3 linked regions of the Saccharomyces cerevisiae S288C genome follow. The protein of the gene in region 1 binds, or shares a complex with, the protein of each later gene. Each region holds a gene or a part of one and is shown in the gene's direction. Other genes may lie near its edges.

Region 1 (4,085 bases):
GATGACGATTGCTCTGTTAGTTGGTTGAAGTTGGGACCATATTCTCCACTAGACTTGCCACATGATACTAGTTGAGGAGAGTTGTCCTTCGGATTAATCGAATAAATTTCCCACTTGTGTTCAGTAATTAGAGCAAATTTGGTGCAATCGGGAGAAATGCTTTGGTTGATGAATAATTTGGATTTCGTCCCTAGGAATTTGGGGTGTGTGTTGAACTGAAATTTTTTTCTGTACATGGGGAAACAGTTGGCAAAAAAGTACTCCTTTTCTTCGTCCAGATCATGTGCACTATTTGTTTGGTAGTTTGCTGTGGAAGGTATTGTAACGTCCGTAGACATCAAAGAGAAGTTGTTATCTATCGGCACAGTTCTTGTGTTCGAGGCATTATCCAGGATTTTCCAGTTCGCGTGGTCGTCATAGTTGGGCTCGAGTAAGCTGCTTGAGTAATTCTCCTTAGTGGTGTGTTCTTCTTGATCACGGGTGGTGCCAGTCGTGAGTGGGTGGTCCGACCCTACCTCTGTATTCGCATTATGCATCTTCGAAGCCACAATATGGAAGAGTTCGAGCAGTGATGATTTCTCCTTAACTGTAGGGTCTGATAGTGTCTTGTTATCAGCTTCTAGCCCAGCAGTGGAGGAAGAGCGCGATGGCGTTAGCGATAGTGATGATGATGATGGTGAAGTCTTTACTATAGCGGGGAGCTCATCGCTTTCGCTTTCGCCCTGTCCGGTAGTACTTCTGAAGAAGTCAATCTGACGAGCCAAATCTCGCAGCGGCTTGATGGCTGAAAGTAGTCGAACATTTTCTCGCTGACAGATGGGACACGCAGTTTGCTTGTTCGAAGTTTCCCTGCATAAATCATTGAATAGCGATTCAGATATACAGCAGCCACACGTAAGCACAGAGCAGTCTTTGACTATACCGTATTGCACATGTGATTCGTCAGTACCAGTTGCACCATCGAGTGATAGCCGTTGCGGTAGATAGAGGTCGTGTTCTATATCGTCGAGCACCCTCGCTATATCCGTCTGGCGGCCCCACTTTTGTCTATGAGAGTGCATGAACGCCTATCAGTTGTGTATTTCGTACCTATGTATGTGTGAGTGTGCGTGTGCTAAATTTTACGGGTATCTTTTCAGTGCTGATAAGGTAATCATTGATGACTACTGTAATGGTAATGTTAATAAGACGAATAACTCCTCCGCTTGAAAAAGGTGTGAAAATCAAAAGTGCGCCTCATGAAATAATGATAAAGGAATCTTTATATAGCAAAGTAATCAACAAAAACGACTCTCGGTAGCCAAGTTGGTTTAAGGCGCAAGACTGTAATTTACCACTACGAAATCTTGAGATCGGGCGTTCGACTCGCCCCCGGGAGATATTTTTTTCTGAAATTTTTTTGGCTTTATTTTTTCATTAATACACCTGTGTTAGTTATGATTGCCACTAGCTTATATACGTGACTTCTGTGACTTCTGTGACTACTGATGTGTTTTTAGTAGAATACAACTGTTTTTTTCTGTAATGCGTTTTCACATATTGGCACCAGAAAGTGTCGTTACTTTATAAAGCAAGCGACTAGAACAACAATCACACACACACACACACACACACACACACACACACACACACACACACACACACACACACACAAGCTATGAGCCTGATAACGTGAGTCATTCGTTTTTTAGCCGATAGTAGAGATATGCATTTGAAGGCCATTGCTATTGTGTCAATCAAGAAAGCTGTATCACTTTCAACGGGGAATGTACTTTTAGCACCATAAGTTTTTCTTCACTTGGTTCAAAGGTAAACAAATTGAAATTGAAACAATAATGTACCAAATATTTCCGATTCGTTCGAGGTATAATACGAAACAATTGCACAGAGGCTGGGACTACAAAGTACGCTTATAAAAAAAAAAAAAAAATGCGTAGGAGTGTATACCTCGACAACACGATCGAGTTCCTGCGAGGCAGAGTATATCTCGGTGCATATGATTACACGCCGGAAGATACTGATGAGCTGGTGTTTTTTACCGTGGAGGACGCAATCTTTTACAACAGTTTCCATTTGGATTTCGGTCCCATGAACATTGGACATCTATATCGTTTTGCCGTTATTTTCCATGAAATCTTGAATGACCCAGAAAATGCCAATAAAGCCGTTGTTTTCTATTCATCTGCATCGACCAGACAACGTGCTAACGCCGCATGTATGCTTTGCTGTTATATGATCCTCGTTCAGGCATGGACTCCGCATCAAGTGCTTCAGCCGTTGGCGCAAGTAGACCCTCCCTTCATGCCATTTAGAGATGCCGGTTATTCTAATGCGGATTTCGAAATCACAATTCAAGATGTGGTTTATGGCGTTTGGAGGGCTAAGGAAAAAGGCCTTATTGATTTGCATTCCTTCAATTTGGAGAGTTACGAGAAATACGAACACGTGGAGTTTGGAGACTTCAATGTACTCACCCCAGATTTTATTGCATTTGCGTCACCACAAGAGGACCATCCAAAGGGCTATCTCGCTACCAAATCTTCACATTTGAACCAGCCGTTTAAGTCAGTTCTGAATTTTTTCGCCAACAATAACGTCCAATTAGTGGTAAGGTTGAATTCTCATTTATATAATAAAAAGCATTTTGAAGACATTGGCATTCAACATTTGGATCTAATTTTCGAAGATGGTACATGTCCTGATCTTTCCATTGTAAAAAACTTTGTTGGTGCTGCTGAAACGATAATTAAAAGGGGAGGTAAAATTGCTGTGCACTGTAAGGCTGGGCTAGGTAGAACTGGTTGTTTAATTGGTGCTCACTTAATATACACGTATGGATTTACCGCTAACGAGTGTATTGGCTTCTTAAGGTTTATAAGGCCGGGAATGGTCGTTGGCCCTCAACAGCATTGGTTATATTTACACCAGAATGATTTTAGAGAATGGAAGTACACAACCAGAATTTCTTTGAAGCCTAGTGAGGCCATTGGCGGCTTATATCCCTTAATAAGTTTAGAAGAATACCGCTTACAAAAAAAGAAACTTAAAGACGACAAGAGGGTTGCGCAAAATAACATTGAAGGTGAATTAAGAGATTTAACCATGACGCCGCCATCCAACGGTCATGGGGCGCTTAGTGCCAGAAATTCGAGCCAACCTTCTACGGCGAATAATGGAAGTAATTCATTCAAGAGCTCAGCCGTCCCACAGACTTCGCCTGGTCAGCCGAGAAAGGGCCAAAACGGTTCTAATACTATAGAAGATATCAACAATAATCGTAATCCAACTTCCCATGCGAATAGGAAGGTAGTAATAGAAAGCAACAACTCAGATGACGAATCCATGCAGGATACCAACGGCACAAGTAATCATTATCCCAAAGTTTCGCGCAAGAAAAATGATATCTCCTCTGCTTCATCGTCCCGAATGGAAGATAACGAACCCAGCGCAACGAACATCAATAATGCCGCAGATGATACCATACTAAGACAACTATTGCCCAAGAATAGGAGAGTAACGTCAGGGAGAAGGACTACAAGCGCCGCCGGTGGTATAAGAAAAATAAGTGGCTCCATCAAGAAATAATTTATTTCATTTTTATATATATATATATCATATAATAAAAAAACTTACTAATAATAACCTTGAAAAGTTTTATGCCATTTTTCCAGTGTCCCTTCTCGCTGTCTTTTCGAAAGAGTCATATGTATACCGGCAATAGTAACTTGCCTGATTTATGCATAATGCCGTTGTATTTGCTAGCCAGTTTTCCACCGCTGTCTGTGGGTTGCGACCATGCTACCTGGTACCTAGGAATAACTTCACCGTAAACAATATTTTCTCTTGCAACGTCAATCAATTTGGTTGCGATACCCAACTTCCTTGCTGTCCTGCACACCCAAATTCTCGATATGCCAATCTTAAAATCGGGGTACACATTCTGTACCAATCTTCTAGAATCATAAACCATCCAACGTCCACGACTAGATGTTTTACCATTGCCCCCATAAAGGTTCTCTATAATTATTATTCCGACCGCCCTGTCATTTCTTATGTATACAAACGCTTTGCCTTTTTCTTCTGTG
Region 2 (3,033 bases), on another chromosome or scaffold:
CATTTAAACCGCATTTCCCGGGGATGACGAATTGGAAATGTGTGGATATTCATTGTGATGATGAAACATCGTTTGTGACCATTCGTAAGCCTGGCTCAACGTCAGACCATCATTATTTCGCGTTTGGTAATGGACTTTTTGGTGAATTGGGCAACAACACTTTCAAGAACTCGCAATGTGATCCCATAAAAATCAAGTCGGATGACAAGAAATTGACCAACTGGAGTTGCGGCTCTCATTGTGTGTTCACTGAAACTGAACAAGAAAACGAGGTCATTGCATGGGGTAATAACGACCATGGCCAACTAGGTATTGGAAAGAAAACTATGAAATGCGCTAAGCCAATGAACATTCCCGAAGTTCTCAAACCAGGACAAGACACGACAGATTTGGACTCAATTTATAACAGTAAATTACACTTAAAAAAGGAGCAACGTGTAGTCACCAATGGTAATAAAAGTTGCTTATACTGGCGGGTTTGAGAAACGAAAGAGCATAGAAGGAAAGTAGCGAGATTCGCGATGTTTTTTCAACCCTTATAATGATGCATGTATATATGGTATGTTTATTTATATATAGAACTCACGGTTACTTCTATCTTAACCATTTCAACACATAATAAATACCTATGATCAAGAGAATTAACGCGATCCAAAAGACTAGTTTATCTTTGAACACCCGTTTATTGATAGAGGTGATAGTTTGTTCCGAAACACCCAATGTTCTTAGGCCATTTGACATTCTATCTTGTACCTTGGATAAAATTTTGTTTTGTTCCACTATATTTTCGAATGATTGTTGGCCCATTTCTAGAATGTAATCTAATTGAGCGTTACCCCTTTCGAAAACAGACTGTTCCTTTTGTAGCCCTTGGTACAACGGTAGTCCCCCACCGTTGCTAGAGCCCTCTTTACCATTTGCACTCGCACCACCAACGTTCCTTTTATTCATGATGGTCTCTGATGTACTAAAGGGGTTATCGGAGTCCATAACATGCGATGCTCCTGAGCCAAACAACTGAGTTCTGGAATTATTTTCGTTGTAGGATTGTTTTAAATCCTTAAACTTGGCAGTAAAGTCGTGCAGATCCTGTGTTAAAGTTGCTAGTCGATTAGCGAACTTAGGATCAATTTCCTCTGCATTAGTATCTTCTTTATATCTGTTTAAATGTTCTGCATATTGCTTAACTGTTTTCTCCAGTGAGACCAGAGTTGCAGAGATGGACCCTTGTAAAGAAATAGGGGCGGTCACAGAATTCTTTTCAAACCTGGCCAACTCTTGTTGTAGTTGATTTTTTTGCTTCACAGCATGGTTGTAAAGAGCGTTCTATTTGATGGTAGTAGCAAAATACCCTGTTAGTATTACATCTTGTTTTAGCAATAATGAGAAAAGATGCCTCCGGCGATCAAACATACCATTCCCCCCTCAAATCAATATGATTAAGTCACGATAATATCTGCACTATTGCCGTGTTTCCTTCTCCATCGACAGCGTCGATCCTGTCTATTATAGCCAGCACACTGAAAATTTCAATGGCTGGCTTGTTGTTCGCGTCGCAACTTTTGATATTTATAAAAAGAGAGAAGGCATATCCAAAGGATAAGGTATTGTCTTTGTAAATCAATCAACCAAACCTCTACGGAATTTTGACCCTTGAAGCAGGGACTATTACACGAAAATGACTCCTTCCACCCCACCAAGGTCCAGAGGGACTAGGTACCTTGCGCAGCCTAGTGGCAATACTAGTTCTAGTGCCCTAATGCAAGGTCAAAAGACCCCCCAAAAGCCTTCACAGAACCTAGTCCCTGTCACTCCCTCAACAACTAAGTCTTTTAAAAATGCGCCATTATTAGCACCTCCCAATTCGAACATGGGTATGACCTCTCCATTTAATGGGCTTACGTCTCCTCAACGCTCGCCGTTTCCAAAATCTTCAGTGAAGAGGACACTATTCCAATTTGAAAGTCATGATAATGGAACAGTAAGGGAAGAGCAGGAACCATTGGGTCGTGTAAATAGGATATTGTTTCCCACGCAGCAAAATGTGGATATAGATGCAGCAGAAGAAGAAGAAGAAGGAGAAGTTCTTCTTCCCCCCAGCAGACCTACATCTGCCAGGCAGTTACATTTATCACTTGAAAGAGATGAGTTTGATCAGACACATAGAAAGAAGATTATTAAAGATGTACCTGGTACGCCCAGCGACAAGGTGATAACATTTGAATTGGCAAAAAATTGGAACAACAACTCTCCGAAAAATGACGCCAGGAGTCAAGAAAGTGAAGACGAGGAAGACATCATCATCAATCCAGTGCGGGTGGGTAAAAATCCCTTTGCATCAGATGAACTGGTCACTCAGGAAATTAGAAATGAACGTAAAAGGGCAATGTTGAGAGAAAACCCAGATATAGAAGACGTAATAACATATGTCAATAAGAAGGGAGAGGTGGTAGAGAAACGAAGGTTAACGGATGAAGAAAAGAGAAGATTCAAGCCAAAGGCATTGTTTCAATCTAGGGATCAAGAGCATTGAAGAAATGAAAAAAAAAAGTTTCTGGAACGATTATATTTTATTTACTTACTTATTCTACATTTATTTGCAAAGGGGCATTAACATCAACATTTTACATATTATAATATATACAGGATATTCTATATTACAACATTAACAGGATTTTTAACTTTTCCTTACCGTATTCTTTTATTCTGGTTTTCTGTCTTCAGAATAATAGCATATTTCATTGTAGTATTTCGTCAAAGCGAGTTAGGGGAGGATGACTACAAGAAAGACAGCTTCCTCTCTTCAGCTTTTAGGGAAAATCACAGGAACAAAAGCTGGAACTAAGCAAAAGAAGATGAATTTCATTAATGGACTGATATGGTTATATATGTGTGTGTGGATGGTACACGGAAAAGTGACGCAGAAGGATGAATTGAAATGGAATAAAGGATACTCGCTACCAAATTTGCTAGAAGTGACAGATCAGCAAAAAGAACTTTCACAATGGACTTTGGGTGACAAAGTAAAACTTG
Region 3 (5,378 bases), on another chromosome or scaffold:
ACCAATTCGATTCATCCCTACAAATTTTATTCAACAGGGTTGTTGTTCAATTGGGTCTATCCGCCTTTAAATTATGTTTGATTGAAGAATGTCATCAAATTTTGAATGATCTTCTGTCAAGTTCTCACTTAAGAGAAATTTTGGGCCAACAATCCCTACACAGAATATCTCTCAATTCTAGTAACAATGCTTCAGCTGATGAGCGTGCTAGACAATGTTTGCCATATCACCAACACATCAATCTCGATTTAATCGATGTCGTCTTCTTAACATGTTCCTTATTGATCGAAATTCCAAGAATGACTGCCTTCTATTCCGGTATTAAGGTCAAGAGAATTCCTTACTCTCCAAAATCCATTCGTCGTTCCTTAGAACATTACGACAAGTTAAGTTTCCAAGGTCCACCAGAAACTTTAAGAGATTATGTCTTGTTTGCTGCCAAATCAATGCAAAAAGGTAACTGGAGAGACTCTGTTAAATACTTAAGAGAAATAAAATCTTGGGCTTTATTACCAAACATGGAAACGGTGTTGAATAGTTTAACGGAAAGAGTACAAGTTGAATCTTTGAAGACTTATTTCTTTTCTTTCAAGAGGTTCTATTCAAGTTTTTCTGTTGCTAAACTAGCCGAATTATTTGATCTTCCAGAAAATAAGGTGGTTGAAGTTTTGCAATCTGTTATCGCAGAATTGGAAATCCCAGCCAAATTAAACGACGAGAAGACCATCTTTGTTGTCGAAAAGGGTGATGAAATTACTAAATTGGAAGAAGCAATGGTAAAATTGAACAAAGAATATAAAATCGCTAAAGAACGTCTTAACCCACCATCAAATCGTCGTTGATCAATAAAATCAAAAACTACTTCGAAAGCATTCTTAACAAAAAATCATTGTAGATAGAAGAATAACATCAGCAACCAAAAAATATAGAAGGAAACTAAGCAGGAGAGTATAAACCATATTCACTTTTGCTTTTTATTCTTGATATTGCTCATCTTTTTTTTTTTCGATTCTTTTAGCGATCTCTTTATTTTTAGTTTTAGGGTTTGAATCTAATCGTCTTCACTGTACATTACACATAAGCAAATATATATATAGTTTTTTTTGTTACGTAAACACTCTTTATAATATAATACAAACTATTAAACTTTAAGAAAAGTATGATATGCCGCTTTATTTCTTCATCAAATATAATCTCAAAATATATGGATCATGAGTGTTGATAAATAATCCAATAGCCTATCATGGACTATCTGTTTGACATTCTAAAAAAAAAAATAAATTGTACGAACTGCAGTAAATCGGTATTATCATCATGACGCACGATATCAATTCTTTGCAGAAACTGAAAAATTTTTCATTTTCTACCCAGGAAAAAAAGAAAAATGAAATTCACTAAAAAAATGGGAATACTAATACCAGACGGTCCAATAATCACTATAGTATTATAGACAGCTATAACAGTGATCGAAGTTCGGCGCTCTTCAGATACCGAGTGGCTAATAGACTGAGTAGATCAAAGTGGCAGATAGCCCAAACAAAAGTAATTAGCTTGCAAGCCACTTTATCCTAACGACACGTGATTTCAACCGTAACTAGAGCCATCGCTATGTCTGCTTTACCGGAAGAAGTTAATAGAACATTACTTCAGATTGTCCAGGCGTTTGCTTCCCCTGACAATCAAATACGTTCTGTAGCTGAGAAGGCTCTTAGTGAAGAATGGATTACCGAAAACAATATTGAGTATCTTTTAACTTTTTTGGCTGAACAAGCCGCTTTCTCCCAAGATACAACAGTTGCAGCATTATCTGCTGTTCTGTTTAGAAAATTAGCATTAAAAGCTCCCCCTTCTTCGAAGCTTATGATTATGTCCAAAAATATCACACATATTAGGAAAGAAGTTCTTGCACAAATTCGTTCTTCATTGTTAAAAGGGTTTTTGTCGGAAAGAGCTGATTCAATTAGGCACAAACTATCTGATGCTATTGCTGAGTGTGTTCAAGACGACTTACCAGCATGGCCAGAATTACTACAAGCTTTAATAGAGTCTTTAAAAAGCGGTAACCCAAATTTTAGAGAATCCAGTTTTAGAATTTTGACGACTGTACCTTATTTAATTACCGCTGTTGACATCAACAGTATCTTACCAATTTTTCAATCAGGCTTTACTGATGCAAGTGATAATGTCAAAATTGCTGCAGTTACGGCTTTCGTGGGTTATTTTAAGCAACTACCAAAATCTGAGTGGTCCAAGTTAGGTATTTTATTACCAAGTCTTTTGAATAGTTTACCAAGATTTTTAGATGATGGTAAGGACGATGCCCTTGCATCAGTTTTTGAATCGTTAATTGAGTTGGTGGAATTGGCACCAAAACTATTCAAGGATATGTTTGACCAAATAATACAATTCACTGATATGGTTATAAAAAATAAGGATTTAGAACCTCCAGCAAGAACCACAGCACTCGAACTGCTAACCGTTTTCAGCGAGAACGCTCCCCAAATGTGTAAATCGAACCAGAATTACGGGCAAACTTTAGTGATGGTTACTTTAATCATGATGACGGAGGTATCCATAGATGATGATGATGCAGCAGAATGGATAGAATCTGACGATACCGATGATGAAGAGGAAGTTACATATGACCACGCTCGTCAAGCTCTTGATCGTGTTGCTTTAAAGCTGGGTGGTGAATATTTGGCTGCACCATTGTTCCAATATTTACAGCAAATGATCACATCAACCGAATGGAGAGAAAGATTCGCGGCCATGATGGCACTTTCCTCTGCAGCTGAGGGTTGTGCTGATGTTCTGATCGGCGAGATCCCAAAAATCCTGGATATGGTAATTCCCCTCATCAACGATCCTCATCCAAGAGTACAGTATGGATGTTGTAATGTTTTGGGTCAAATATCTACTGATTTTTCACCATTCATTCAAAGAACTGCACACGATAGAATTTTGCCGGCTTTAATATCTAAACTAACGTCAGAATGCACCTCAAGAGTTCAAACGCACGCCGCAGCGGCTCTGGTTAACTTTTCTGAATTCGCTTCGAAGGATATTCTTGAGCCTTACTTGGATAGTCTATTGACAAATTTATTAGTTTTATTACAAAGCAACAAACTTTACGTACAGGAACAGGCCCTAACAACCATTGCATTTATTGCTGAAGCTGCAAAGAATAAATTTATCAAGTATTACGATACTCTAATGCCATTATTATTAAATGTTTTGAAGGTTAACAATAAAGATAATAGTGTTTTGAAAGGTAAATGTATGGAATGTGCAACTCTGATTGGTTTTGCCGTTGGTAAGGAAAAATTTCATGAGCACTCTCAAGAGCTGATTTCTATATTGGTCGCTTTACAAAACTCAGATATCGATGAAGATGATGCGCTCAGATCATACTTAGAACAAAGTTGGAGCAGGATTTGCCGAATTCTGGGTGATGATTTTGTTCCGTTGTTACCGATTGTTATACCACCCCTGCTAATTACTGCCAAAGCAACGCAAGACGTCGGTTTAATTGAAGAAGAAGAAGCAGCAAATTTCCAACAATATCCAGATTGGGATGTTGTTCAAGTTCAGGGAAAACACATTGCTATTCACACATCCGTCCTTGACGATAAAGTATCAGCAATGGAGCTATTACAAAGCTATGCGACACTTTTAAGAGGCCAATTTGCTGTATATGTTAAAGAAGTAATGGAAGAAATAGCTCTACCATCGCTTGACTTTTACCTACATGACGGTGTTCGTGCTGCAGGAGCAACTTTAATTCCTATTCTATTATCTTGTTTACTTGCAGCCACCGGTACTCAAAACGAGGAATTGGTATTGTTGTGGCATAAAGCTTCGTCTAAACTAATCGGAGGCTTAATGTCAGAACCAATGCCAGAAATCACGCAAGTTTATCACAACTCGTTAGTGAATGGTATTAAAGTCATGGGTGACAATTGCTTAAGCGAAGACCAATTAGCGGCATTTACTAAGGGTGTCTCCGCCAACTTAACTGACACTTACGAAAGGATGCAGGATCGCCATGGTGATGGTGATGAATATAATGAAAATATTGATGAAGAGGAAGACTTTACTGACGAAGATCTTCTCGATGAAATCAACAAGTCTATCGCGGCCGTTTTGAAAACCACAAATGGTCATTATCTAAAGAATTTGGAGAATATATGGCCTATGATAAACACATTCCTTTTAGATAATGAACCAATTTTAGTCATTTTTGCATTAGTAGTGATTGGTGACTTGATTCAATATGGTGGCGAACAAACTGCTAGCATGAAGAACGCATTTATTCCAAAGGTTACCGAGTGCTTGATTTCTCCTGACGCTCGTATTCGCCAAGCTGCTTCTTATATAATCGGTGTTTGTGCCCAATACGCTCCATCTACATATGCTGACGTTTGCATACCGACTTTAGATACACTTGTTCAGATTGTCGATTTTCCAGGCTCCAAACTGGAAGAAAATCGTTCTTCAACAGAGAATGCCAGTGCAGCCATCGCCAAAATTCTTTATGCATACAATTCCAACATTCCTAACGTAGACACGTACACGGCTAATTGGTTCAAAACGTTACCAACAATAACTGACAAAGAAGCTGCCTCATTCAACTATCAATTTTTGAGTCAATTGATTGAAAATAATTCGCCAATTGTGTGTGCTCAATCTAATATCTCCGCTGTAGTTGATTCAGTCATACAAGCCTTGAATGAGAGAAGTTTGACCGAAAGGGAAGGCCAAACGGTGATAAGTTCAGTTAAAAAGTTGTTGGGATTTTTGCCTTCTAGTGATGCTATGGCAATTTTCAATAGATATCCAGCTGATATTATGGAGAAAGTACATAAATGGTTTGCATAAAGACGTTTAATAGAAAGAAGAACAATGTTAAGTAGTTCTATAAGGAATATTAAATGAATATTGTCTTTTTTGATGATTTAAAAACATATAATGTAACAATAGTGTTCTTTTTAATTTACCGGTGGTAATAGCGAATAGAATCTTATAAAACTTACATAGAAAAAAAATATATACTATACTTACAACTTTTCATTTTTTTCGTAAAAACTACCCCACAATGAAATAAGATACCATACCTTATCGAGTTATTATGTATGTGTCGAAGCTTTTTAAACCAAAGCAAAACCGACACCAGCGGCAATGGATAAGGAAATGATGGAGGTAAAGACCACTTGTGCTAAGTTAGCTTTAACGTTGGTGGCAGCATTCTTCTTGCTAGAAGATGAAGATGAAGCTGAAGAAGAAGAAGAAGAACTGGAAGAACCAGAAGAGCCGGAGTTAGACTTGGAAGAAGACCCCGAAGCGTTAGAAGAGGCAGTACTGGATTCAGTTCCGGAACC

Evidence for each region. The genes of interacting proteins can lie anywhere in the genome.
Region 2: the proteins of CDC14 (region 1) and SIC1 are in contact, whole or in part, in a crystal structure (PDB 6G86), measured with the Saccharomyces cerevisiae proteins. Residues at the interface, in NP_116684.3 of Saccharomyces cerevisiae: Phe13 (codon at 1,966), Leu14 (codon at 1,969), Arg17 (codon at 1,978), Val18 (codon at 1,981), Tyr60 (codon at 2,107), Ala63 (codon at 2,116), Val64 (codon at 2,119), Phe66 (codon at 2,125), His67 (codon at 2,128), Leu70 (codon at 2,137), Asn71 (codon at 2,140), Tyr101 (codon at 2,230), Met102 (codon at 2,233), Val105 (codon at 2,242), Gln106 (codon at 2,245), Trp108 (codon at 2,251), Gln112 (codon at 2,263), Leu159 (codon at 2,404), His160 (codon at 2,407); in NP_013180.1 of Saccharomyces cerevisiae: Ser51 (codon at 1,829), Phe52 (codon at 1,832), Asn54 (codon at 1,838), Ala55 (codon at 1,841), Pro56 (codon at 1,844), Leu57 (codon at 1,847), Leu58 (codon at 1,850), Ala59 (codon at 1,853), Pro60 (codon at 1,856), Pro61 (codon at 1,859).
Region 3: the proteins of CDC14 (region 1) and PSE1 are in contact, whole or in part, in a crystal structure (PDB 4ZJ7), measured with the Saccharomyces cerevisiae proteins. Residues at the interface, in NP_116684.3 of Saccharomyces cerevisiae: Gly547 (codon at 3,568), Ser548 (codon at 3,571), Ile549 (codon at 3,574), Lys550 (codon at 3,577), Lys551 (codon at 3,580); in NP_014039.1 of Saccharomyces cerevisiae: Arg349 (codon at 2,653), Asp353 (codon at 2,665), Ser392 (codon at 2,782), Ser393 (codon at 2,785), Glu396 (codon at 2,794), Cys429 (codon at 2,893), Asn430 (codon at 2,896), Gly433 (codon at 2,905), Gln434 (codon at 2,908), His470 (codon at 3,016), Ala473 (codon at 3,025), Ala474 (codon at 3,028), Val476 (codon at 3,034), Asn477 (codon at 3,037), Gln512 (codon at 3,142), Thr515 (codon at 3,151).

Annotation. Positions count from the first base shown.
Region 1 is NC_001138.5:207,913-211,997, reverse strand, and holds CDC14 (phosphoprotein phosphatase CDC14), read left to right. Parts: upstream 1-1,929; coding exon 1,930-3,585; downstream 3,586-4,085. Other genes in the region: PTR3 (Ptr3p), read right to left, coding at 1-1,061; ECO1 (Eco1p), read right to left, coding at 3,701-4,085. UniProt on the Saccharomyces cerevisiae protein: Protein phosphatase which antagonizes mitotic cyclin-dependent kinase CDC28, the inactivation of which is essential for exit from mitosis. To access its substrates, is released from nucleolar sequestration during mitosis.
Region 2 is NC_001144.5:285,142-288,174, forward strand, and holds SIC1 (cyclin-dependent protein serine/threonine kinase inhibiting protein SIC1), read left to right. Parts: upstream 1-1,678; coding exon 1,679-2,533; downstream 2,534-3,033. Other genes in the region: FMP25 (Fmp25p), read left to right, coding at 1-482; BOS1 (Bos1p), read right to left, coding at 595-1,326, 1,416-1,418; EMP46 (Emp46p), read left to right, coding at 2,775-3,033. UniProt on the Saccharomyces cerevisiae protein: Substrate and inhibitor of the cyclin-dependent protein kinase CDC28. Its activity could be important for faithful segregation of chromosomes to daughter cells. It acts in response to a signal from a post-start checkpoint.
Region 3 is NC_001145.3:888,452-893,829, reverse strand, and holds PSE1 (importin PSE1), read left to right. Parts: upstream 1-1,608; coding exon 1,609-4,878; downstream 4,879-5,378. Other genes in the region: NIP1 (translation initiation factor eIF3 core subunit c), read left to right, coding at 1-842; 1,3-beta-glucanosyltransferase GAS1, read right to left, coding at 5,148-5,378. UniProt on the Saccharomyces cerevisiae protein: Functions in nuclear protein import as nuclear transport receptor. Serves as receptor for classical and arginine/glycine-rich nuclear localization signals (cNLS and rg-NLS) in cargo substrates.